Callithrix jacchus: one gene and its partners. The protein of the gene in region 3 purifies or fractionates together with the protein of the main gene of each other region. This does not show direct contact. Links are inferred from orthologs where the notes say so. Each region holds a gene or a part of one and is shown on either strand. Other genes may lie near its edges.

Evidence for each region.
Region 1: the proteins of UBE2O (region 3) and BUD23 purify together in Homo sapiens (affinity purification with mass spectrometry; 5 studies listed by BioGRID and IntAct, counting the BioPlex papers as one, with this or other methods). This does not show direct contact. The link is inferred for Callithrix jacchus from reciprocal best matches to the Homo sapiens genes UBE2O and BUD23.
Region 2: the proteins of UBE2O (region 3) and NAP1L4 purify together in Homo sapiens (affinity purification with mass spectrometry; 3 studies listed by BioGRID, with this or other methods). This does not show direct contact. The link is inferred for Callithrix jacchus from reciprocal best matches to the Homo sapiens genes UBE2O and NAP1L4.

What each region holds. Positions count from the first base shown.
Region 1 is NC_133503.1:9,994,260-9,996,915, reverse strand, and holds the end of BUD23 (18S rRNA (guanine-N(7))-methyltransferase), read left to right. Parts: intron 1-1,548; coding exon 1,549-1,638; intron 1,639-1,787; coding exon 1,788-1,842; 3' UTR 1,843-2,148; downstream 2,149-2,656.
Region 2 is NC_133511.1:128,856,521-128,860,200, reverse strand, and holds the start of NAP1L4 (nucleosome assembly protein 1-like 4), read right to left. Parts: upstream 2,844-3,680; 5' UTR 2,736-2,843; coding exon 2,704-2,735; intron 1-2,703. UniProt on the Homo sapiens protein: Acts as a histone chaperone in nucleosome assembly.
Region 3 is NC_133506.1:132,289,094-132,292,742, reverse strand, and holds part of UBE2O ((E3-independent) E2 ubiquitin-conjugating enzyme), read left to right. Parts: intron 1-29; coding exon 30-142; intron 143-229; coding exon 230-358; intron 359-719; coding exon 720-812; intron 813-1,803; coding exon 1,804-2,500; intron 2,501-2,772; coding exon 2,773-2,909; intron 2,910-3,649. UniProt on the Homo sapiens protein: E2/E3 hybrid ubiquitin-protein ligase that displays both E2 and E3 ligase activities and mediates monoubiquitination of target proteins. Negatively regulates TRAF6-mediated NF-kappa-B activation independently of its E2 activity.

The DNA of each region.
Region 1 (2,656 bases), on a different chromosome or scaffold from region 3:
ATCTCAGTGTTTTTCTGAATGAATAACTGATTATAAGGCAGTGAAGAGGGAGGTTATTTCTGAGTTCCAGTTGACATGAGGGAAAGGTCTTCAGACTTTTAAGATACTTAAGAGGAAAAATGGGCCCCAGATGCATGCGTTTCGAAGGCCCACAACTGGGAAAGTCACGTGTTCCTCGCGTCCACCATAGGCTTATGCTGCCTGACCCCTTGGACCTTTGGTCATTTCTCTTAGCTTCCCTAGCCCATTCCCCATGGGGAGCTGGGGGAATGCCCCTTCTCTCAGGCGCCCATCTCGTGCTCCCAGGGAACACCCCATCTCCTCCCTCACAGGGGAAGTACACATTGCCTCAGCTCCTCCATGCACCTTAGGATCGCTCTTGTCCTGACACTGGTGTCTTTAGATGACATGTCCTAAAAGTAAACGTGGGTAAGTTGAATGACCTGAACCTCCATTCCTCAGCTTCTGAAAAGCAGGGATAGTGCCACCCATCTTAGCAGTGTGTTGAGGGTGCAGAGCCTGCTGGCCAGGACTCACCGTGCCTAACATGTACCTTGCCATCCTTGTTCTGTGGGCTCATACTTTGAGTTCCTCAGATGAGGTAGAGGGCAGGGGAGGGGCTCCTCTTACTGTCACCTCAGTCTGACCACATTCAGGACACTTGTTATAAAGTACATAGGTGAGTGAAGAATAAGTCATGTAAGCCTTTACTTGATCAGTCTCCAGGCTGTATTTTTTTGGCCTGTTCCTCCCTTCCTCCTGGCCTCCACCCTCCCATGCCTCTCATGTGCCCCTGGAGGAATGGGCCCCCACTTCTCCCTTGCGAACCTGTGCTTCGGGGCGCTGTGTCTTCACCTCCTCCCTTTATCTCCCTTGATAACTTTCTCTCTTGCTGCTTCTCCCATGGCTCACCTCTTGCCCCGTTTGCCATTCTGCTCCCACTTTATACTCCTTCTAGAATCTTGAGGTGAGTTGTCCTGTCTCTCCAGCCCTGCTGTGCCGCTGCTCCTGCTTTGTGCTGGCCCATCAGGTTCAGGCGTCCAAATGGCGGCTCCTTGGCTCGCCCTGTCTCTGGTTTCTCCTGACGGTCGCAGGGGTCTTCAGGGTTACTCCAGTCCTCTTTCCTTCTTCCCTCACATCCTTCAGTCCTGCCTTTTCAGACCCTCCTTTCTGTCCCGGTTTTCTGCCCCCAAGCTGTGTTCCCCGAGCTCCTGCCGTGAACTGTGGCCTGTGCACTGGAAGTCCAGGTGTTGCTGCATCACTGCACGGGTAGAAAGCGGCTGCTTCCTGCTGCTTAGCTACTTCCCAAGGAGGGAACAGGCTGCTCGCTCGCCTTTACATCTCCATGCCTGGCCCGGCCTGCCCTATCTTCCCATTAACTGCCGTGGCCCTGGTGGATGTCGAGTGGGGACTTGTAGTTAGGAAGGTGGAGCCTTTGAGGGAAGGCATCCGAGGCCACCAGACTCAGAGGGAAGCTTGCCATGGATACATGTGGGGGCCAGCCCGGGCAGTGTCATCAATTAGCTCATAGCTGCGTCTCCACCATAGGGTCCCATTCAGGTTGTTGAGGCGGGCAATGGTGAGGAAGAGCCGGGCATGGGTACTGGAGAAGAAGGAGCGGCACAGGCGCCAGGGCAGGTGAGTGCCAGACTGGGAACTGGCAGGGGGGGATGGTGGGGTAGGGGTGGGGGTGGAAGCCTGTTGCCACTTGAGTTCCCTTGCATTTGAAGAGTCCAGGGCTGCTTGGATCTTTTTTTCTGAGATTGTCCTGTTCCTTTTCTGCACAGGGAAGTCAGACCCGACACCCGGTACACTGGCCGCAAGCGCAAGCCCCGCTTCTGAGTCAGCATGCGGTTCTGGGCAGGCGCTCGCCTCCGTGGGTTTCTATACTGACGTGTTCCGTTGCCAGTAGTAGTTGAGAAAAGTTCTAAAGTTCTGAAAATGTTTCCTGCAGTAAAAAAAGTTCTCTGGGCTGGGCATGGTGGCTCGTGCCTGTAATCCCAGCTCCTTGGGAGGCTGAGGCGGGAGGATCATTTGAGGCCAGGAGTTTTAGACCTGCCTGGGCAACATAGTGAGACCTCGTTTCTAGGGGCAAAAAAAAAAAAGCTCTTTGTTTAAAAACAAGAAGTAAAAATTCCTTTTGTGAAACTCTGGCATCTCCCAGCTCTGCTTCTTAACAAACTTGGGTTCCTCTGTTGGGCTAGTGCACGACTCACCAGGCAGTTACTAGGTTTAAAAAACTTCCATACATGAAAACATTCTTTGAATTTGCAAGGAACAGAGTCCTTTAATTCGGGGCTTCCATGACTATAACATCTCACACTAAGCTAAGTGGGGAAGAGGGCCTGGGTGAAATGTTAGTGGTGCCTGCTGGCCAGTCTGGTTTCCCTTGCTGTGAAGGCCATGCCAGTCCAGCAGCCCCAGCCTCACCTGTTGCAGTGAGCTGCACAGTCAGCTGCCAACTAGTCTAGTGCTTGATGTCTTGGGCTGATCTCTTGTCCCATTGCTAGTGGTTGGAAAGGGCTGGTCCTGCTCTGGGGTTGTGTGGGACCATCCGGCAGGCTGTGATAGAAGAGGTCCACTGGTTGCTTGAGCCTTTTGGGCCATGTGGGAAGAGGGGGAAGATCCTGGGCGTTGCGGTACAGAACTGGATCAG
Region 2 (3,680 bases), on a different chromosome or scaffold from region 3:
TACTAAAGCTGGCAAACAGTAAAGCAGCCCGTTCTCTCTCAGAGGCAGAACGGGAAACCAATGGCTGCCAGTTGAAAACAAATTTACACCAATCATCACAAACTACTTCTTACAAATTTCACAGCAGTCAAACACAAAATTATTTACTATCTCCCCCTCGAGAAGAGCTTTCCATTACTATATGCTCAAAGACAAACCTTACAGCTGCAGTTTCGGGAGGCATAAATTTGAACCTCAGAGGTCCCACAAAAATTAAGCTGAGGCCGGATGAGAGCAGTTTCCTGCAGAGATCAGCTACTTCCTATCGAAGAATCAAACTAAGTAAAACCAGCTTTTTACTCTGGATGCCTAAAACACGTTTTCCTTTAAGCAAACAAAAAGTAAGTATTCCTTAGCTAGCAGTCTCAGGCCAAACTCCCAGCAAGCTCATCCCTGCTGTCATATCATTCAAATATAAACTACCATTGCTTCCCAGCAGTATCAGCATTTGCCTATTTCACACAGCTGATGGCTCTCAGGCCATTAGGAATTTAAATCACCTTCTTGCCCACAAAGTACTTTTCTTCCAAAACAAATTGAAAAATTTAGGCCCTTTCACAAAATTTTTGGAAGTACAACACAAACTTATCACAATAGTTTTTAAACTGCAGACAAATAAACGGAAGAAAGAAAAGCACTACTATATATACATATATATTTGAGGTCACTTCCTCCAGATGCTAGAGACTATCAATTGCTCAAAAGAAAAACAGAACAAAGCTTCCAATCTCTACACTTAGCTGCAAATAGCCAACACAAGGAATTAATATGCCATCAATAACAAAAGGCTACTAAAAACTGATAGGTTAACGAAAGTGTTTTCATTTCAGTTTCAAGTTCAAATTCATACTGTAAAGGGGTGAACACATCCTATCCCCAGGTACTTAACCGCCATACAAGTAAGAACTACCTCATGTGGGTAAAAATCTCAAAATCCTACAGAAGAATCTGATGTCTAATGACTCATCTGCAAACGCAATATCCTGTACATTTTGAGGACACCCTAAAACACGTGTAAACGTTTCAGAATTCAGTCTACCAAGGTTGTAAAACTTAAAAATGATTAAAATTTCTCTGCTACTGCAAAGAATTCAACCAATTTCCCCAATAATTATGTTCATTTTGAAAAATAGTACAGGATTTAAGGCTTGCACAACAGATTTACAAACTGTTAAGATGTTATGATACACAGGCACAAGTAACTGCAGACATTCTGAAGCAGTAACTGCTCAGCCAGGAAAAAAAGACTGCAAGTGTATACGTAGTAACAACTATTTAAGACAGCAGTCAGGTGTCACAAAGTCACACCATGAGGCCTACAATTCTAGTAAAAATGTCTCTAGGTAACTGGTGAAGTACTATTAAAGAACTAATTTTTCTCTCTGTAGTCACTCATTTAATCTTTGGAATACATCCCGGTGCTATCACCCCGTTCCTTTCTCTGAACTTCATTTTACTACATTTGCGTATTATTTATTCCGACAGCAATCGCTCATCCCAGTCTGAATCTCAAAATTCTACTATGGGAGGCATTTGGCATTCCGTGGAATAATATAATTTCGAGATGGTAAAGATCAACCAGCTCAACTCCTCACAAGCTAGAGTTCAGTTAGGCTTAGTACAATGATGAAAACAATTTCTCTTTAAAACTTTTTTCATTCCCTTTACAGAAGCGGTAAACCTGGGTAAAGTTAAAACCGCCTGGGTCTTTATCTAAGCTTGGACAAGTCATTCTACGTAAACTCCCAGGGCCTCAGCTTCCAGAGTGGTTAAACGGAAAAACAATAGTATTGATCTCACAGACTACTGGATTATGAAATGAGTTAATACACGGAAGCAGGCTGGAGGCCTAGTGCGCAGTGAACAGGCATTAGTCATTTAGAGGCGTATTTACTACTGCAGGAGGGCAGTAACTTAAAAAAGACTTACGTCTGAGGTCCAACAACCTCATCTACATACTTGTGTATTTTTAAGGTGAGAGAATTTTCAAAAGTCTATTTTTATACTGTATACCTAAATGCAGGTAGTTGAGGCAAGGGACTACTACAGGAAAAAGGAAGGCAGACTTGGGTATGTGAACCAAAGCACAGACGAATGGGCACGACTCCTCCGACAACAGGATGAAATGGCGGACCTTCCTGCCAGAGGAGCGCAGAGTCACCCACACAGGTGATGTGACACACGTTAGGGTCTAAAGGTCCCACGGCTGGAGTCCCCTTTACTGGACCCTAAACTTGTCTGCCTCCTGCACCGCAATCAGAGAACTGTGGACGGTGGAAAGTCTTACCATGACCAGGCCATCCTCCGCTGGGGTGAACGGAGAACATTCAGAAAGGGAAAATTTAAATAAAAAAAAAAAGACTTTGGTCATGTCAAATGTGACCTCACTCACCATCTGTGAACTGAAAGAAAAGCATGGCACTTTCCCATCCAGAACACCTACAATTATTTTTCTTCCGGAGAGTTCGCTTTTCCCTCGTGAAAGACGATTTTAAAACAGTAAAAAGACTTACTGCCCACCTTGCCTAGTAAAGCGCGTCCCGTGAGTAACAGGCTGAGGCCAGTCCCCGGGCAGCGCACGCCGCCCATCGCACCCCACAGCTAAGAAGCGGCGCCGAGGACTTTCTTCCCCGTCAGACGTGCCCTCGGTCACACGAAACTTACTGCCACAGCCCCGCGGAGCCCAGCCCGACCATCGCCCCACGGAAAAGCTCAAACTCCCAAACATCTAACCGAGAGGACCTGGACGTCTCCACCTTAAAAACGGGAAGCCTGGACGCTCCGGCGCGCCCTGCCGTGTAACCGCCGCGGCCCCCGCACGCGGGGCGGACCGGGCTAGCGGGAGATTTGAGCGGCCGCCGCCTCTCGCCGTCTTCGCCTCCTCCGCGTGGCCGCCGCCCAGGAGGCCGCCCGCGGCGCAGAACAAAGCGCCCTGACCTTCAGGGCGGCGGGCGGCCGGGCGGGGCGCCCCAGAGGCTGGAAGGGGCGGCTCGCCAGCGCCCCAGGCCCGGGCTCCAGGCTCCAAACCCCAGGCCCGTCGCGGCCGCCGCCGTCCGCCCAGACCAGGACGCGGCCCCGCCCCTGCCCGGCGCCCCGCAGCTTCCCTCGAGGGCCGCCGGCCGTGCCCACCCTCGGCCCCTCCCGCCAGCCCCGGCCCGGGCGCCCTCTCCAGCGCGCTGTTACCCGCCCAGTGCCGGGGTCTCCGCACCTCGCGCCTCCTGCAGCAGTGGCGGCGACCGTGGCTTCGCTCACTTTAGAGCTGCGCCGCCGTGGCCGCCAACAACGCCGCCTCCCATTGGCCTAGGCTCCTGGCTCCTCTCTCCGCGAGCAAGACCGGCTGCGATTGGGCGAGCGCGGCGCAAGTCAACTGCGCTTCGCGCCGCAGACGGCAGCCAATGAGAAGCCTCCGAAGAAGCGCCGCGCCGTATGCAAATATTCCTCCGCGCGGCAGGCGCCCTGCGTTCCTCCGCCTCTTTAAATGGGACGGGGGCGCGGTGGAGACCCGGAGTGTGGTTCCTTCCCCTGGGACCCTCCCCGGCTCGCCTCGGACCCTCACGAGACACTGGGCGCCACGGCACTCCGTGGGCCCCGGCCGTCCTTGTCTCCTGCGCCCTCCCAGATCCCTAGTTCCATCCCGTCCG
Region 3 (3,649 bases):
TAGTTGCGTCCCTTCCTCTGGTTCCCTAGTCCAGAGCTGTCCAGACCCTGCTGTCTATGGTGTGGTACAGTCTGGCGACCACATCGGTCGTACCTGCATGGTGAAGTGGTTCAAGCTGCGGCCAAGTGGGGACGACGTGGAGGTGTGTGCAGCCCCTACTGCTTTCTTCAGCTGGGCTCTGGGGTTGGGTGTAGGCCCCTAGCTCATGATGGCCTGTCCTATGCCACAGCTAATTGGAGAAGAGGAAGATGTGAGTGTTTACGACATTGCTGACCACCCTGACTTTAGGTTCCGTACAACTGACATCGTTATCCGCATCGGCAATACTGAGGACGGGGCTCCTCACAAGGAGGATGAGGTAGACCTTCAAATTCAAGTTCTAGATCGCTGCTCCCTGCCCTATGCAGCAGCTGCAGTCCCTGATGCTGCCACCAGGTGGCTCTAGGAGACAAGACCTGAAAGTCCTCTGGCTAGTTGTTACTAGGAGAGCAGCTGCCCCAAAGTCAAGCTGCTGCTCAGCCCTAGCAGCTGCAGAAGGACTTGTTTCCCTGACTCTCTGCCGGTGTCAGGCTTCTTGAGCCGCTGCTGGTTACGTTTACCAGAGGAGCTAAGTTCCTTGTCACAAGCTGGGTGGGCATGATGTCAGTCACTGCAGAGCACAGGAGGGCTGGGGAGCTGGGGCTGGAGCTGGGCTCCCTGACTCTGTCCCCTTTGCCCAGCAGCCATCAGTAGGCCAGGTGGCCCGTGTGGATGTCAGCAGCAAGGTGGAGGTGGTGTGGGCTGACAACTCAAAGACCATCATCCTGCCCCAGGTGAGGCTCTGGCAAGTCCCCCTGCTGGGCTTGTGACTATGGCAGCTGGGGCTGGGGCCACAGTCAGGTAGCCTAAAGGTGGGCTCTCGGGTCTTCCTGGTGAGATCTCAGTGAAAACCTGAGGAGAAAGGCAGTCATTCCACACAGCCCTGGTTGCGGGGTTGGGGTCAGCCCACAGGTGGCCCACCAGCCTCACTTCTCCCATCCATCACTGGGTGCATGTAGATTTTCACAAACCTCCAGGATTTTCCTGGATTATCACTATGCTAAGAAGAATGTAAGTTCCTTCCTAAAAGGAGATGGAGACTTTCCTATCACCCTTTCTAGAAAGCTCTAACAGCAAAGGAGAGAAAGGAGAGAGCTGGCCCCATTCTAGCCCCAGCTGCTGGGTCCTGAGCTGAAGGGCCACACGGGCTCTCCTTCCCTCGCCTCCCTGGCTGGAGCTGCATGGCCCAACTCTCCTCTCCTGGCTCCTGCATAGGGGGTGGGGATGGGGCAGAGCAGGGGCAGGAATGGCTTGCCCCATCACCTTAATGGTCATTCCAGGGAAGGCAGCAGGATGTGCTGGCCCTTCCGCACATACTCTCCTAACGTATGTTCCCAGCTCCCAGTGCAGCCCCACATGGGCCTCCCTGCCTGCATCGTTAGCTGACCCTGAGCTTTTCAGGTGTGGGGCTGGGCCTGCCAAGGTTGCCTGCCTTCTTGGGCAGATGCTGACCAAGTGTACAGAGTGGGAGGGGAGGCTGAAACAGACCACTGGCTGGGGCTTTGGGTCCAGCTTGGGGGTGGGACAGGTGGAGGGCCTCTCCCAGAGACCTAGGGACTGCAAAGTCCAGAGCACAGGGTGGGGAAAGAGTGGAATGAGGTTGCCAAGGCCTCATGAGCCCAGTCCCCATCAGCTGTGCAGATCAGGGATCCCCAGAGCTCTTCCTTTGTGGTAGGGAGGTAACTTCCTGTCTGCATTACCCTGGCACTTCCCTTCTGCCCCCAGCACTTGTACAACATCGAATCTGAGATTGAGGAGTCAGACTATGATTCGGTAGAAGGCAGCACCAGTGGGGCATCCTCGGATGAGTGGGAAGATGACAGTGACAGCTGGGAGACGGACAATGGGCTGGTAGAGGATGAGCACCCCAAGATAGAGGAGCCCCCCATCCCACCCACGGAGCAGCCTGTGGCCCCTGAGGAGGACAAGGGAGTAGTGATCAGTGAAGAGGCAGCCACAGCCGCTGTCCAGGGGGCTGTGGCCATGGCTACCCCCATGGCTGGGCTGATGGAGAAGGCTGGCAAGGACGGGCCTCCCAAGAGCTTCCGGGAGTTGAAAGAGGCCATCAAGATCCTGGAGAGCCTCAAGAACATGACCGTGGAGCAGCTGCTGACGGGCTCGCCCACCTCTCCCACTGTGGAGCCTGAGAAGCCAACTCGGGAGAAGAAGTTTCTGGATGACATAAAGAAGCTACAGGAAAACCTCAAGAAAACCCTGGACAATGTGGCCATTGCAGAGGAGGAGAAAATGGAGGCAGTGCCCGACGTAGAGCGCAAGGAGGACAAGCCCGAGGGGCAGTCACCTGTGAAGGCCGAGTGGCCCAGTGAGACCCCGGTGCTCTGTCAGCAGTGTGGTGGCAAGCCTGGCGTCACCTTCACCAGCGCCAAGGGCGAGGTCTTCTCCGTGCTGGAGTTTGCACCCTGTGAGTCAGCCTTTGCCCAGTCTTCACCTTCCCCTGCCTTCTCGGGGCTCCTGTTTGTGTCACCAGATCTGGGTGCGGTGGTTAGGTGGTTAGTCCTCACTGGCCCCCAACTTCTGGCCCAGGGCAAACAGTTTCCCTGTATGGTTACAGTGCTGAGGCCAGCGAAGGCGAGTGGGAAGTCTGTGGGTGCGCTCACCTATCCAGCCAGGTTTGCAGATGGAGAGCTCCAGGGCCTCTCCATGAGTGACTGACTGCTCTCTTTCCTCTTCTAGCAAATCATTCTTTTAAGAAAATTGAGTTCCAGCCTCCAGAAGCTAAGAAGTTCTTCAGCACAGTTCGGAAGGAGATGGCACTGCTAGCTACCTCACTGCCTGAGGGCATCATGGTCAAGACTTTTGAAGATAGAATGGCAAGTAGGCTTGGCATGGGCAGGTGCAGATGTGCTGTGTGGGTGCCCAGTGCCCAAGAGGCCACCAGCCTTGGGTCCTCAAAGCTCCAGGGCTGACTGGCACCTGTGAGGACACCCACCCACCCACCTTTTACAGGGGCGGTCACAGGCACAGCCAGGTGAGGGCTGGCGGAGAGCCATGTGTCCAGGCCAGATGGTTTTCTTTTCTCCCTTCTTTAAAAAATGAGTTTGAAATTAATTATATTATGAGTACTCCTCAAGCCTGCTCTTCTTTTTGGAAAAATTAGAACATTACAGATCCTTTGAGTGGAAATAGAAGAGCTAAAGTTGCCTTTGACCGGCTCTGACTTCCCTTTTTTCCTGAATCATAGGCCTCTTCCCACACCCAGAGGACTGCTGGAAGTTTAGTGGGTCTCCTTCCAAATGGATGACCACGGATTACCTTTTTTATGTATTTTTACATTTTTTATACATTGAAAAAGTATTTCGACATGTTCATGTATCACCATGAGTACAGAGTGTTTTGTATGATTTGTTTACACCGAGTATTTGCCTTTTGTTGTTGTTGTTGTTGGAGATGGAGTCTCACTCTGTCGCCACGCTGGAGTGCAGTGGCCTGATCTCAACTCACTACAGCCTTTGCCTCCCGGGTTCAAGTGATTCTCCTGCCTCAGCCTCCCAAGTGGCTGGGACTACAGGCCCGTGCCACCATGCTCAGCTAATTTTTGTATTTTTGGTAG